Linked DNA regions of Mytilus edulis. The protein of the gene in region 2 interacts with the protein of the main gene of each other region in a pairwise test. Links are inferred from orthologs where the notes say so. Each region holds a gene or a part of one and is shown on either strand. Other genes may lie near its edges.

Region 1 (7,542 bases), on a different chromosome or scaffold from region 2:
AATCAATTGAAAAAAAGCAGATAAGCATTTGTAATCAATATTTTTACTAAAAATGAGATTATAGCTGGAGTGGGCACGGGTGGGCTGTCCACGTGGGCCGGTGGAAAAAGCAAAATCCACCCGAGCTGTGTATGTTTGGCCTCGTTGAAGCTAACAATGTAAATGACACACAGGGTATACACGTGGGAACAGATTCCTACCCCTCTTTTAAAGTTGTAAAAACACTGCAAATTGATGCTAAGCAGCGGTTTAATGATTTTTCGAGGGGTAATACCCTTGCAACCTCTCTATATAGATGTGTTTTGATGTTTAACAGAATTTAATCTTGCAGAGTGGGGTTCTGACAATATTAAAATTCAAAATTTTGAGAAGAGTGAGAATGCGAAATATTTGCCTTATTAAATCTATGGAAAAAATTGTAGATTAATAGGACATGATTTTTTTTCCTTCTCTAGTATAAACTGTTGTGGGACCAGCCAGAGAAATATTAAAGAATAAAAGTAGACATGGTGCCGGGGCAGATTCATTTATAAATGTCAGAACATGAATCATACACCATGTCTGCCTACTGGGGAAAGCTTTCTATTTTTCGTTACACATTGTCTGCCCCCTTGCCGTCATTAACTCAAACAGTCAAATGCTCAAAAGTATTAACATCCGTTTATGTTGCGTCCTGAGAACAATTTTTTACAACAAAAGCTGGATTGACTTTAGCAGTAAATTGATCTCATTTTACTCTTTAATAAATTATTTGTCAATTTAATAACCGGTAGAATTAGATACAGTCTGTCCATCCTGAAACGATTCTGACTGTTGGTCGTCTTGTACCTGTGCAAAGAAGTTGAGCAAAATGCGCCAACTTCGTATTTTTTTCGTCTATAGGTCCATCATGGTGTTCTTCAAAAAGATTCATCATATCGTAATTATCCGGAATTAATATCATTATATTTTGTAACCATGTGATCACATTTCGCATATTTGACAGCTAATACGCAGCACGGTTTACGGAAAAGCCATGCTTGTTTATTTAAAATCTTGGTTCTTGAAACGCTTTACTTGTCCATATTGGTCCAAGCTATCAAACATTTTGAAGATCTGTAGTTTTCTAAATGAAAAGTAGGATCCAGACAGACCGAATAATCCGGATTTTTAATAAAAAAAATTGTTTTTGTCAATAAAAAGTTTAGGGTCAGCATCAAAAACGGAGGTAGGGTCGGGAAACCGGACACACACTATTAAATTATTTTGGCCTTACTTTGATACTGTCCACTCACTGACTCAGATAAACTCTTTAACTCACCTAAAGTTATGAAGATACCAGTGGCGGATCTAGAAATTTTCATAAGTGGGGGCCCGCTGGCTGCCTAAGAGGGGGCCCGCTCCCGTCACGCTTCAGTGATTCCCTATATAATCAACCAAATTTTTTTCTCAAAAGTAGGGGCCTGTGCCCCCTGCCCCCCCCCCCCCCCTAAATCCGCCTCTGGATACCTCTTGTCCATGTCAATTAATGACAATCAAAACAATACAAACCGGTTATTTTACCTGAGGAAGCATCTCATAGTTATACCACAACTTAGTTGATTTTCACACCTTTTGCATGAAGGAAAAAAAATGCCCATCAAAATCCAAGAGATTTTATCTTTCTGAAACACAAAATGCATTTAACTTTTTTTATATCTAGTGGATGCCAGGCAAACTTTTCCAACTTCACAGGTAAGTCTGTACTCAGAGTAATTTTTGGCATGTAAATACAGCCATATTTGTTCGTTTGTTATGATGAACCTTAAACTATGTGAAGATTATCCTACCGTAGTCTAAAATCGTTCATCTTGTCAGTTCGTTAGGTATTTGTGTTTGAACTTAACACACAGGGAAACTCCGCAATGATGTCACTACGGTACTTCTGGCGTAGAAAAACAGTGCAAAATACGTTTTTTTCTGCACTTTTGAATAAAAAAACATTTTTAAAGGTAAGTTTTCATTGTTGTTTTCAATTATTGCCAAAAAATGCCAATTTTCTAATGCCCGTTTCAATCCCAACTTCCGAATATTTAAAAACATTCTAGAACTTCACAAAATCCCATTTCCGGCCTCCATTGCTTTGTGTACATTCCATTCAGCGTCATCAATCCTGTGGCAGGCAATACAGGTCAAGCAAATCGTATTTTTAGGATTTTAAAAATGACATGCTCCTTACCTCTTTCTCGATTTTCCCGCGAAAAAAGCCCAACCAAAATGAAAGGAAAACTATATGAAAAAACGATGTCAATGCCATAATTTTGAACAGGCATATAGAGTTGGTTAATAAGAAACAATTTACATTTATTTTTCATAGAATTTTCTTTTTATTCATTATCAAAAGATAGATATTCTGACCATCATGACTGTAGGTAAATATTCATACAAAATTCCCTTGATGTCAAAAGAGATGGCAAAAAAAAGAGTTTTCCTGTTGAATAAAACCCAGAACTATTGCAAACTATTTTGAAGCAATATCCCAGAAAGAAATAACGTAATTTGCCGTAGACTGAAAAATCCGCTAATTGACAGTAGAGCAATTTGATTGGATATAACGAATTGACATCACGTGATTTTGACGCTATTGAAATTTTAATGTAAACAAACAAGGTCAGAAGGTTCCGTATGGGACATCATTGTACATTTATTTACTGACAAACAATTACGAGTTATCAAGCTTGCCAATGCATGGTTATAAAAAAATAAAGCTAAGTCTACAGAAAAAATAAGAAAAAAATAGCCTTAGTATAACGACTTATCATTACACCTGGATACATAACCGAAAACAGCTCTGTCTATAATCTTAAAGTTTTGAAAAGAAAAAACATCTATTCTTAAACTATGTGACAGCAATCTAGAATAACTAAAAGAGTTCTTTAAAAACCTTTTTAAGCTCCATGTCAACGGGCATTCCTGCTTTTGCTGCCATTCTGTTATTTGATCAATGTGTAAAGAACGCATGGTTTTGTTATCAATATAAAGTGTATTACAAACGCATGACTAACTGCAATATTCGAAAGATCTCGAACCATAGAAAGTAAGTCTTACTACCCTAAACAATTCATTACAACAACGCACTGCAACGAAATGGTTAAAATAGTTCAACACTTGTAACCAAGGATTTCAGTGTATAGTAATATACAAATCCTTGTTGTAACGAATTAAAAAAAAAAACACCGTGGGATCATCCCCCAAACCACGCCATATGATCCCTTAAAAGGTTAGAATAACAGGGTATCAGGTCCGTTCGCGCCCAATATACTTTCGCACCCTACACGTTCGCACATCGCACGTTCGCACCCAAGGTCCGTTCGCACTCTACACGTTCGCGCCCAATTTTAATTCAAATACCAGTTGAATAATTGGAAAATCATGATTATTGTTTTTAATTGCTTTCGTGTAAATACTGAATGTATTTATAGCTTGGTATGAGTAAAAATTTGAATATTTTAGATCATTTTGAGTAAAAATTTGAATATTTTAGATCATTTTAAATGAAAAACACAAAAGATAATTGTTTTTAACAGCTTGGTCCCTTTGATCTGAAACAATGAAACAATAAAATATAACAATACACTATTATAACCAAAACATGATAAAATTTATTCAACACACAAAAAAAAAAAACGTAGTCAGAATCTCACTTCATTTTGAAACAAGTTAATGAAACAAAGTTATAGCAATTAATACGCTAACCAAAAAATGATTAAGAGTTATTCAACACAAAATAAAACGTTGACAGAATCCCACTTTATTTAGAAAAGAATATTTTTTATTTTTTAACCATACACTATCCAAAACATGATTAAGATTTATTCAACACCAAAAAAAAATGCTGTCTCACTTTATTTTGAGACAACGAAAACAATTATACTTATAAGAATACTACTTGCCAAAACATGATTACAAAGTTATTAAACTCAAAACCAATTAAAATTGGGCGCGAACATGTAGGGTGCGAACGGACTTTGGGTGCGAACATGTAGGGTGCGAAAGTGAAAGGGGGCGAACATGAGTGGGTGCGAACGTGAATGGGCGCGAACAGACCCGGATTCGAATAACAGATACACTTAAGATGTCACTACTAAATGTAACTGTTCTTATTGTAATAAATTATTATAGTAGATCCGTATTAGCAGGAACAGATATACCGCTGTTCCCAGATATAAGCTAAAACTTGTAGAAACTCTTTATTTATTTCAGTTGGTAAATGATCTAAAAATCATCTTTATAGTGTTTATATCATAAACTAAAGTATAAATGAAATTACCAGTGTCAATGAAAACAGCATGTCCATGCCTTTTAGTATATCGTATAAAAAGTTCCCATTTGCACATAACATTCATGAAACAATGAATGTGAATTGTTTTCTTCAATACTCCAACGTTAGACTAGTTGATGTCCATATGGTCTTTTTAAAATTAGGTAATACAGTACCAACTGGTCTACTGATTAGCTATAGATTAGTGTAGGTTACACTTTTGTGGCATATATATGCTCTGACAATAGCTATGAACCAGCTTAACGTGTCCAATATGAAGATAAGGAGATGCAGTCTGATTGCCAAATGAGACAATTATCCATCAAAATGCAAATAAAGTGAATTTAAGAAATTATAGGCAATCATACGGCCTATAGTAGCTGTTTAAAGACAAAAGTTAAAAATATTTTTTTTATTAACAAAATAGCAATTTTAATTCGGTTCAAACATCATATATTGATTAATATTGTCGAAAGACATCCAAGTAAAAAGGGCTCATTGTTGAAGGCCGTATGCCTGCCTATATGGTTTTAACCAATAAAAATTACCGTAATCTTTTCCAAAATATTCTATAGAAACCTCAATAAAAAAAATAATGGTGCTTTGAAATACCAAAAATATATGTTGATGACCCAGACATTTACTATTTACTGCAATGAAATATAGGTTGAATTACCTTCAACTGTCAAATTCAAGGGAATATGTTTTTCTACCCTTTTTCGAATGCAACCGGATGTACTATGATTTGGTGGTATTACAGCGGTATGCGATGCAAAACTTTTGCAGTCAATGAACTATCGTTCAGGGGGCGAAACTTTAATATATCCATAAAAATATGCCAATGCTGATACAAAAACATACTATAATAATATATCACTTTGCTTATCGCTATTGGTCTTCATTTAAAAAGAAAACTTACTTTATCACAAATTAAAAAAGAAAAACAAGTTGAAGCCGCTGACACCACCGCAACATGCGCAAACAGCATGCCTAACTTTTATATCTTGACAATCTATATATTTAATGTATTTTTAGTTGCATGTTGCAATTTATCGAGATCTGCATTTGATAGGTAAAAATGTGGAATGTAAGATCATAAGTTTTAAGTTGTGAACTAGAAATCGTTTTTCTTTTTCTTTACTTAAAGTAAGTTTTATTTTCCAGAGATCATCTATATGACTTCCCTGAAAAAAATAATCGTGTTTATATCTAAACACATTTCTAAGTAAACACATTAAATAAAAATTTAGTAACAATAAACAAAAGGACTATGCGATTTGGACAGGCTTTGATACTATAACTGCCCTTGAATTTTTACTAGATAAAATTTGTGTTCGCTTTAGACAAGACAAGGCAAGACAAGACAATTTATTTCAACTTAGGCACACGTATGGTGCTACAAGAGGATAACAATTGTACATTAACAATTACATAAATATGGAGATTCTGTATCTCGTCAAGTTATCGACATTGCAATGGGGACTTATTGTGCACCACTTATTGCGTACGTGTTTCTGTATTGTTATGAGTTAGAATTCATGGATTCAAATCAGCAAAGACCCTACAAAACAACATAATTTATGATACAAGAAGAAAAAGAAGAAGAAGAATTTTACAAATATAATAAACAATACAATAAACATAATTAAAAACACAAATAATATTGGCTCTCAATAATGACGACTTCAGTATACATGTATACACTAAAGATATTAATCCTATTGACTAACTTTAAATAAATCGAATACTACGGTAGTACCAATGAGCACTGCCCTTTCCTGGATCTTGATTTCTATAAATTAACATTAACGGGAATCTTATAAAACCAAAGATTATGATAAAAGAGATGAAATATCCATTTTTAGAAGATGACGTTCCGTTGTCACCATTTTATAGTGTTAATATTTCTCAATATGTTCGATTCGCTCATCACGGTATGTGACAACGTAATAGATTTTAACGAAAGCTCGACAATCCTCACATTTTTGCCTGCTTTTAAAGCTCGATAAGGTGGCACGGTAGTATTTCCTGGCCCATAAGGGATAATGATAGCCTTTTTAGAATTTTCACCACTTTCTAACACTGCAAAAAATTCTACATTCACAGTTAACTGAAGTACTTTCATTTTACTATTCAGAAATGAATTTGAAAATGTATCATGACCGTTTACTTTTTTTGCTATTTTAAAAAACCTAAGGCCACTAGTACTTTTAGGTATTTTATGGTGCAGTGAATACAAAATTAAAAAAAATTCTCAAAAATTCATTTTCATCTGTATGTAAAATTATTTCATATTTTTCTACACCTGATTCATCCCTCAGTTTGGGAAAGTATGTTCAGTTGATACTGTATTTGTCCAATCACACTGTTTAGATACATTTACCTAAGTAGGCCGGAGACTTTTTTTTGTTGTTGATTGGTTGTATTTCTTATGCATTAAGAGACACACGGAAGGAGGACAACGGAGTTGGCGTACGTGGGTTCGATTCCCACCCTAGGCTTTTTTTCAAAGTACGGCTGGTGCAAAGCGGGCAGATTAGCTTAGTGGCCCCGCGTCGACTCTGTTGCCGGGTACACAAAAGAGCAACCTAAATTCTGGAATGCAAATACTACCGTGCCACCATAAACCTCACAATACATCCTTGTTTTAAAGCTTGACAAGCCTCAATTTTCTTCCTGCGTTTCAAGCTAGGCAATCCTCACTTTTCTTCTTTTTTTGACGCTGGACAAGCCTTACATTTTTCCTGCTTTTAAAGCTCGACAAGCCTCACATTTCTTCCTGCTTTTAAAGCTCGACAAATATCACATTCTCCCATTCTTTGAAAGTTTGTATACATATTTAAGTTTAGCCGATCTTATAGATATGATTATATTTATTACTCTATCATATCGTATTTGATTATTATACCTCATAAAAATGTATCTAAGTGTTATCGACCCATGACTTAACTGATTGTCATGTTTTCATTAGTGTTTTTATAACTTCCTTTTAAAAATATATACATTCTAGTGTAGGACTAAAAGATTCATGTCGAATATGATTACATTTGTAGGTTTATGCATGGTCCTTCTTTGCCTCATTGAAAGTAGAAAGTCTGTAGCACAGGATTTCAGTACGTATATTGTTTGTTTTTTTTGTATTGTATTTGTTTTATATTTTTATTTCAAGTTTTAAACATTATCATAATATTGGATGAGAAGACTTCCATTTGAAAATTCTTGATTGACATATGAGGAAGAACACACATTTTCTCGAGGGATTC
Region 2 (6,833 bases):
GCGAGTGTTATGTTTTAATACAATGTACACACTGAAGTTTTAATGGACAAGTTATGATTTACGCTTGCAAACGTGTACCTTTATTTTACCGACGTTTATACTCTGCAATAAAATCGACAATATTTTAACGTAAACCAAGGATTTGTATAAACGAAAACATTAATATGCATCTGTTCGCTTCCATTATTTATTTCATCTTCCGTCATGTTCATTTTTAGTTTGTATAAACGACTGTTAACGTCATAATCCGACTACGTTTTGTACGTCTATATTTTCCCGGACCATCGCACTTTAGCGTATGGAAGCATCGTACTTTAGCATAGACCATCGCACTTTAGCGTGACCATCCTACTTTAGCGTCCCCATCGCACTTTAGAGTCCTACATATATATGCAAATTACACTTGGTTGAGTAAACATGTAGTTTAATCGCTACTTGTATAAAAACATGTCTAGTAAATTCAATATTTATCTTTTATTAAAGTTTGAAGTAAAATAGTTTTTTAAATAGGCAATCAATTTCAACTATATCTATCCATGTGGACAGCAACACTTAATATTTTTATAAAAGATATTTGTAGATGAGTTTGTTTTACAGGTATTATCCTGCTGATAGACAAATTATACTTTGGTGGTGGTGGCGGTGGTTGTTGTTGTTGGTTAGCTTCAAATGGTGTTGATAGAGGAGGCTGAGGAACCACTGGCGGCTTTGTACTTGTAGATCTTCTTCCATGAATCTATAACAAAACAAAGAATGAAATAAATCTTTTTCATATGTCTTAAAATGTTATCCAGATTAAAATGTTACAAGCAGGAAAATCATGTAAAGACGGTGCTTGTCATTTTGAAATTCTTAAAAATACAATTTGCTTGGTCTGTTTGGTCTGCCATTAAGATTGATTGACACTTAATGGAATGTTTACAAAGCTGGAGGCTACAGACATGGAAGAGGGATTTTCTGAATTTCTAAAATGTTTATAGGCATTTGAAGTCAGGTTTGAAATGGCCATTAGAAAATCTGCATTTCTGTATAATTCTTAATATGCTTAAGAATAACCATGATAACAATGAAAACGTATCTAAAGAATGGTTGTTTTATTCGGCATGTTTATGCGGTATGGGCTTTGCTCATTGTTGAAGGCCGTACAGTGACCTATAGTTGTTAATGTCTGTGTCATTTTGGTCTTTTGTGGATAGTTGTCTCATTGGCAATCATACCACATCTTCTTTTTTTTATATTAGAAGATATTAAAAAACATATTCTGCACTAATTTTGTATGCTGGTATTAGCTTAGAATGCAGAATTTTTCGGTGTGATAAGTACAATTACTAAGTCCTTACCAACATGATGACTGATTATTCAGATTATATCCTGAAATGGTGATAAGTCGTTCATCTAGGCACATTTTTTCTTTTTTTTTCCCTGTAGACTGAGCTTTGTTTTATTATTACCATGTACAAATGTATTGACAAGCAGGGTTACTCATCAATTTTTCTCAGTCACTGAATGTACTATGTATGCCATACTAAAGATGCTGACCCTGTAAAGGGCCTGTTTGTTTACATTCAAATACCAATGGTGTCAAAACCTTGTGATGCATTGAATTCATTCTACCCAATCAAATGGTTTATTATCAATTAGGTGATTTTTTTAAAGACTGAGGCAATTATATTATTTGTTGGAGTGATATTGCTTTGAAATAGTTTGCAATAAATTGGGGGGTTTATTCAATAAAAAAAAACATTTTTAGCCATGAATTTTGACATCAATGGAATTTTATATGAATATTTACCTATGGTCATGATGGTCAGTATATTGATCTTTATATATTGATTGATTTTTTTTTTATGAAAAATATATGTATATACATATTGTTTTTTAATAACCTACTCTATATTCCTGAACAAAATTATGGCATGAACATATTTTTTCCCTAAGTTTTCCTTTCATTTTGGATTGGTTTTTTTAGAGTTAAAATTGTGTAAGACGTAAGGTGCCTGTCATTTTGAATTTCTTAAAAATACCATTTCCTTGGCCTGTTTTGTCTGCCACTAAGATTGATGAAGCTGAATGGAATGTACACAAAAGCGATGGAGCCCGTAAGTGGGATTTTTTGAAGTTCTGAAATGTTTTAAGGCATTTGGAAGTCAGGTTTGAAACAGCATTAAGAAAATTGGCATTTTTAGCAATAATTAAGAATAACAGTGAAAACGTATCTTAAGAAATGTTTTTATATTTAGAAGAGTAGAAAAAACCTCTTCTGCACTATTTTTTTACGCTGCCGCTAGTGGGACATAGTGACATGATTGCTTGGTTTTCCCATGTGATAATTACAATAACAAAGTCTGAACGAACCAACAAAATGACCGACAATCAACTAGGTAGGATCGACTATAGACTAGGTAGGATACTGGTAATTAAACCAATGAACACAGGGGAAAAGTCAATATACAAACTGAGAATTTGTTACAGTGAGACTGTGTGTTCATTCTTTGTGGGTCTCATTGGGGTCTAAGTGTGATGCCGGATAGCCGATTGTTTGTAAACGTGACACGTGAAAGTCAATTTATTGTGCCATGAAAACGGGAGATGAAGTCTAGCGGGACACAGGAAATTACAAAAAATGAGAATTGAATGCGTACATAGTGTAAGCGGGATACGGGAATCTGACAAAACAGTAAGCAATATCCGGGATCGGAACCCCCCCAATGAGACCCTCTTCATTATTTAGGTATCCCATAGCATAGAAGTGTCCAATGGCACCATGGCACTTAAGTTAAGACTTTAATGACAGATAATTTGGCATGACATGTTGTCCAGTACTGATTTTAATCAGCTGAAAAGGGAATCCTTAGAAAAGAAGATATTTGGCATCCTCAGTTCACTTACTAACCTTGATTTTGGGGGGCACTCTAGATGTTGTCCTCCACATTGCTAATCAGTAGGACACCGGCTCTTCAATTTGACTTCCGGTAACCTTCATCAACGACTTTTGTACTCAGCAGATGATTTACATTGTAAGTTTGTGCCGAATCTGAATAGTAACAGATAAAACTTAAACCCAAACAAAAAAATTTGATTGTAAAGCACCATAATGTACAGTTTCATACTGATACCAGTATCAACAAATGAAGGGAAAAAAACACAGAAATAAACCCAAAGCTTAATTAAACTAATGAATCAATGTATTATATCTTATTTTTCTGTTTACCAACGTAATATTACTTAAAAGATCTTTTTCCCAATGTGTATATATATATAGGACGCCTGCGTGTGTGAGAATTTCTCGCTGCATTATAGACCTGTTGGTGACCTTCTACTGTTGTTTGTTCTATGGTCGGGTTGCTGTCTCTTTGACACATTCCCCATTTCCATTCTCAATTTTATAGGCCATGAGACAACACGTCAGTTTTGACTGAGAGAAGAAAATCATCAAGTGCCACGCCACAGTCTAATTAATATATGGAAACTTTATGGTTGTCATATTTAATAGTCATACTTTTGTCATTTTCAAATATCAGAGACATATATGTCTCTGCAAATACATATTGAAGTGAAGTTTATTAGAAAAGTGAGATGACAAAGAAGAATTTCAAAAAGAGCTGGTAAAATCATTTCAGTCTGTCTGTTTATAACTGACAATTTTAGAAAGAATACTAAAGAAAATAAAACTGTTTTTATTAGGCACAGCTGGCTACGATTATATTGAAATTTTACAATAATAAAAAAAAATGTTACATTGGGGACTTATTGTCGGAATGCAGGGTTGGGCAAGGAACTGATTAATTACGAATGTAACAATAATAATTATGCCTACGATTAAATTGCGTTGTTGTTACATTAAATCATTATTATTGTTACATCAATTCCATGTAACTTTAGCCCGAGTGCCTTCTTATTGGACAGGAGACTAGTCAATTAACTTCGATGGTGTGTTATATTTTCCCCACTGATTACTCTGATCCACAATTTGACGAAAAAAGTATTCTGGTCAAGCAGATGACAAACAAAATAGAATGAAATTCAAAACAGTGTAGCTGTGGCCATTGATTGACACATTAAAATCATCCATTGACTGGGACAATTTAGGTGAACGTTTGTATGTAACGACCAATGCTCACTATGTACTTTTTAAAGACACTTAAACTATGGGGTCACCAAAGGTTCTCAACACCTAAATAAAGTAATTCGAAAAATTAATCAGAAATAACACGATATTTTGATTTCTATCAATTATATAAATCAAAACACAAAGGTTATTCCTGATTAATTTTTCGAATTATTTTATAATTAAAGGCGTTAAGAAACCTTTGGTGACCCCACAGTTTAAATGTCTATCGTAGGTACGTCGTGAACAGTGGTCGTTACAGACAAACGTTCACGTAAATTGTCCCAGTCAATGGATGATTTTAATGTGTCAATCAATGGCCACAGCTACACTGTTTTGAATTTCATTCTATTCCAAGTTTCCCGGCTATACCTTATGGTGTTAAATATTGAAAAAAAAATGATCGATAGGTTTTGGAAATATTTCTGACTCAGACAAAAAACCATACCCCCTTTAAAGTTAAACGGTTGCTCCCTTATATGATTAGCGTCGTCAGTTTTACTAAATGATATGTTTGTTGTATCACATGATTCAAAAATGTGTCTCAGGTTTTTAAAACTGATAAATTCCAGCAGAGCACCGACCATTCATCTGAGGAGCATGATTGTTCTTTTCTTAGTATATATCAGCATTATGAAATAAAACAAACTTAACGAAGTTTACGTTTTGATCAAGGACAGGCCTGGTTCTTCTATATACTCTTATTTATAGTTACTTACTTACTTACTTACTTACTTATATGTAATTTTGAAATCTAAAATATAAAAGTGCAACAACACTATCTACACACTACTTTTGATGTAGCATCGTATATATCCCCATTTATATGAAGGACAAAGAGTTATCAAAGGTACCAGGCTTATGATAAGCCATACGCGTAAACACGAAATTTATAAAAATGACCATATAATTGATATTCTTGTCAACACCTAAGTGCTTACTACTGGGCTGGTGATACCCTCGGGGACGAAACGTCCACCAGCACTCACTGAACTTATACATGTATGTAAGTCGGGGGTTGTTTCTTTAATCTGATCACTCTTATTCGTATCAATGCTAGGTCCATTACAAGTCGTTGGTACTTCAGAGGGGCTGATTTGTGGCGTTTCCTGAAGGAAAGAGGGTATAAGTTACTAAAAAATTTGAATGAACGAAACTTTTAGACAAACAGATGATGGAACGGGGGTATTCATTCAATATATAAAAAATAAAATTGAGAATGGAAATGGGGAATGTGCCAAAGAGACAACAACCCGACCATAGAAAAAAACAACAGCAGAAGGTCACCAACAGGTCTTCAATGTAGCGAGAAATTCCCGCACCCGGAGGCGTCCTTCAACTGGCCCCTAAACAAATATATACTAGTTCAGTGATAATGGACGCCATACTAATTTCCAAATTGTACACAAGAAACTAAAATTAAAATAATACAAGACTAACAAAGGCCAGAGGCTCCTGACTTGGGACAGGCGCAAAAATATTTATGTGACTTTAAAACTTTAAAATTATTTTTGAATTTTGGCATCACAGTAAAAAAATATTATTGGTCGAGAAAAGTTATTATACAAACTTTAAAAATTTAGATAAACGTAATGTAAAAAAGTATAAATTATCTGCTAAAAACATCTAAGATTGAGGACTGTCTCTTCATTTTTACACCTTAATTAACATCAAAGAAATCGATCAAATAATTAGCGATTGTTGATTACATGTTCATTGTATAAACATACCTGTCAAAGTACATGTATTTAGCCTTAAGGTAAGTAATGACAACTTTATGACTGGTGATTACGATAGACAAATTGATTTGATCGACGAATTTATTTTTCAAAATGTTCAAGGTGCACCACTTTTTGGTACATGGTGCACCATTTTTGCAAACCCAGGGGGTGGTCACCGGCACCGGGTGACCACCCCCTGGATCCGCCTCTGAGCAGTGGCATAGACCCAGTGGTGTAAATAGTTGTAAAGTGTAGCAGGAACAATTCTGCCTAAGATTCGGGGATGCGGACCACAGCTAATTCTAGTTTGTAAACTGATGTGTGCGGAAAACGACTGATGCCAAAAGTGATGCGCTATAATATATCTAAGTAAATGAAAACCAAAAACTGAAAACAATATATAATTTAATCAACAAAGTACAACTTTTATTATGTAAAGCCAAAAGTGTAGAAATGGAGCATTCATTATGATTTCACATTATCATACTAAGGAGGCATGTAGCAGATGCACTAACCTAAACTCTGGTTGGAAAGCCTGGCTTTCCTTGGTAGGACTGAATGTCAGTCCTCAGAGGATTCAAAATAAGAATCTAAAAGTACTTATATAAAATATATAAATTTCTCACAGAAGGTAACCAAAGAATTTGCAACGATGCAAATATTAAACTTTACAATATAAATAAATATCTTTAACCAATGAATTAAAATAGCAAAAGCTATGTAATTTAACAAATATATCCTCAATAAGCTTCATGTAAATTAATTAACAATGAAATACATCAAATATGAAATTTAGAGTTTTACCAAAGGGAGCTAAAAATTAACTAATAACTCTGTCTGCTACATTCCTCCCCCCTAAGACAAACGAAAAATTTCATCAATTAAAGTCTGCAAACTGAAATGTCTATCAAATTCATGTATCTGCATCAATATGTACGCAAAATCCAAATGTCAGGATCAAACATTAAATCCAAAATACATCAGTTTAAGTTGAATCACGAGAC

What was found.
Region 1: the proteins of MICOS complex subunit MIC60-like (region 2) and prefoldin subunit 1-like interact in a two-hybrid assay, tested with the Homo sapiens proteins (2 studies listed by BioGRID and IntAct). The link is inferred for Mytilus edulis from reciprocal best matches to the Homo sapiens genes IMMT and PFDN1.

The regions. Positions count from the first base shown.
Region 1 is NC_092352.1:51,877,729-51,885,270, reverse strand, and holds the start of prefoldin subunit 1-like, read right to left. Parts: upstream 3,019-7,542; 5' UTR 2,948-3,018; coding exon 2,903-2,947; intron 1-2,902. Other genes in the region: uncharacterized protein, read left to right, coding at 7,308-7,392. UniProt on the Homo sapiens protein: Binds specifically to cytosolic chaperonin (c-CPN) and transfers target proteins to it. Binds to nascent polypeptide chain and promotes folding in an environment in which there are many competing pathways for nonnative proteins.
Region 2 is NC_092347.1:95,493,975-95,500,807, forward strand, and holds the start of MICOS complex subunit MIC60-like, read right to left. Parts: upstream 3,032-6,833; 5' UTR 2,933-3,031; coding exon 2,894-2,932; intron 737-2,893; coding exon 627-736; intron 1-626. UniProt on the Homo sapiens protein: Component of the MICOS complex, a large protein complex of the mitochondrial inner membrane that plays crucial roles in the maintenance of crista junctions, inner membrane architecture, and formation of contact sites to the outer membrane.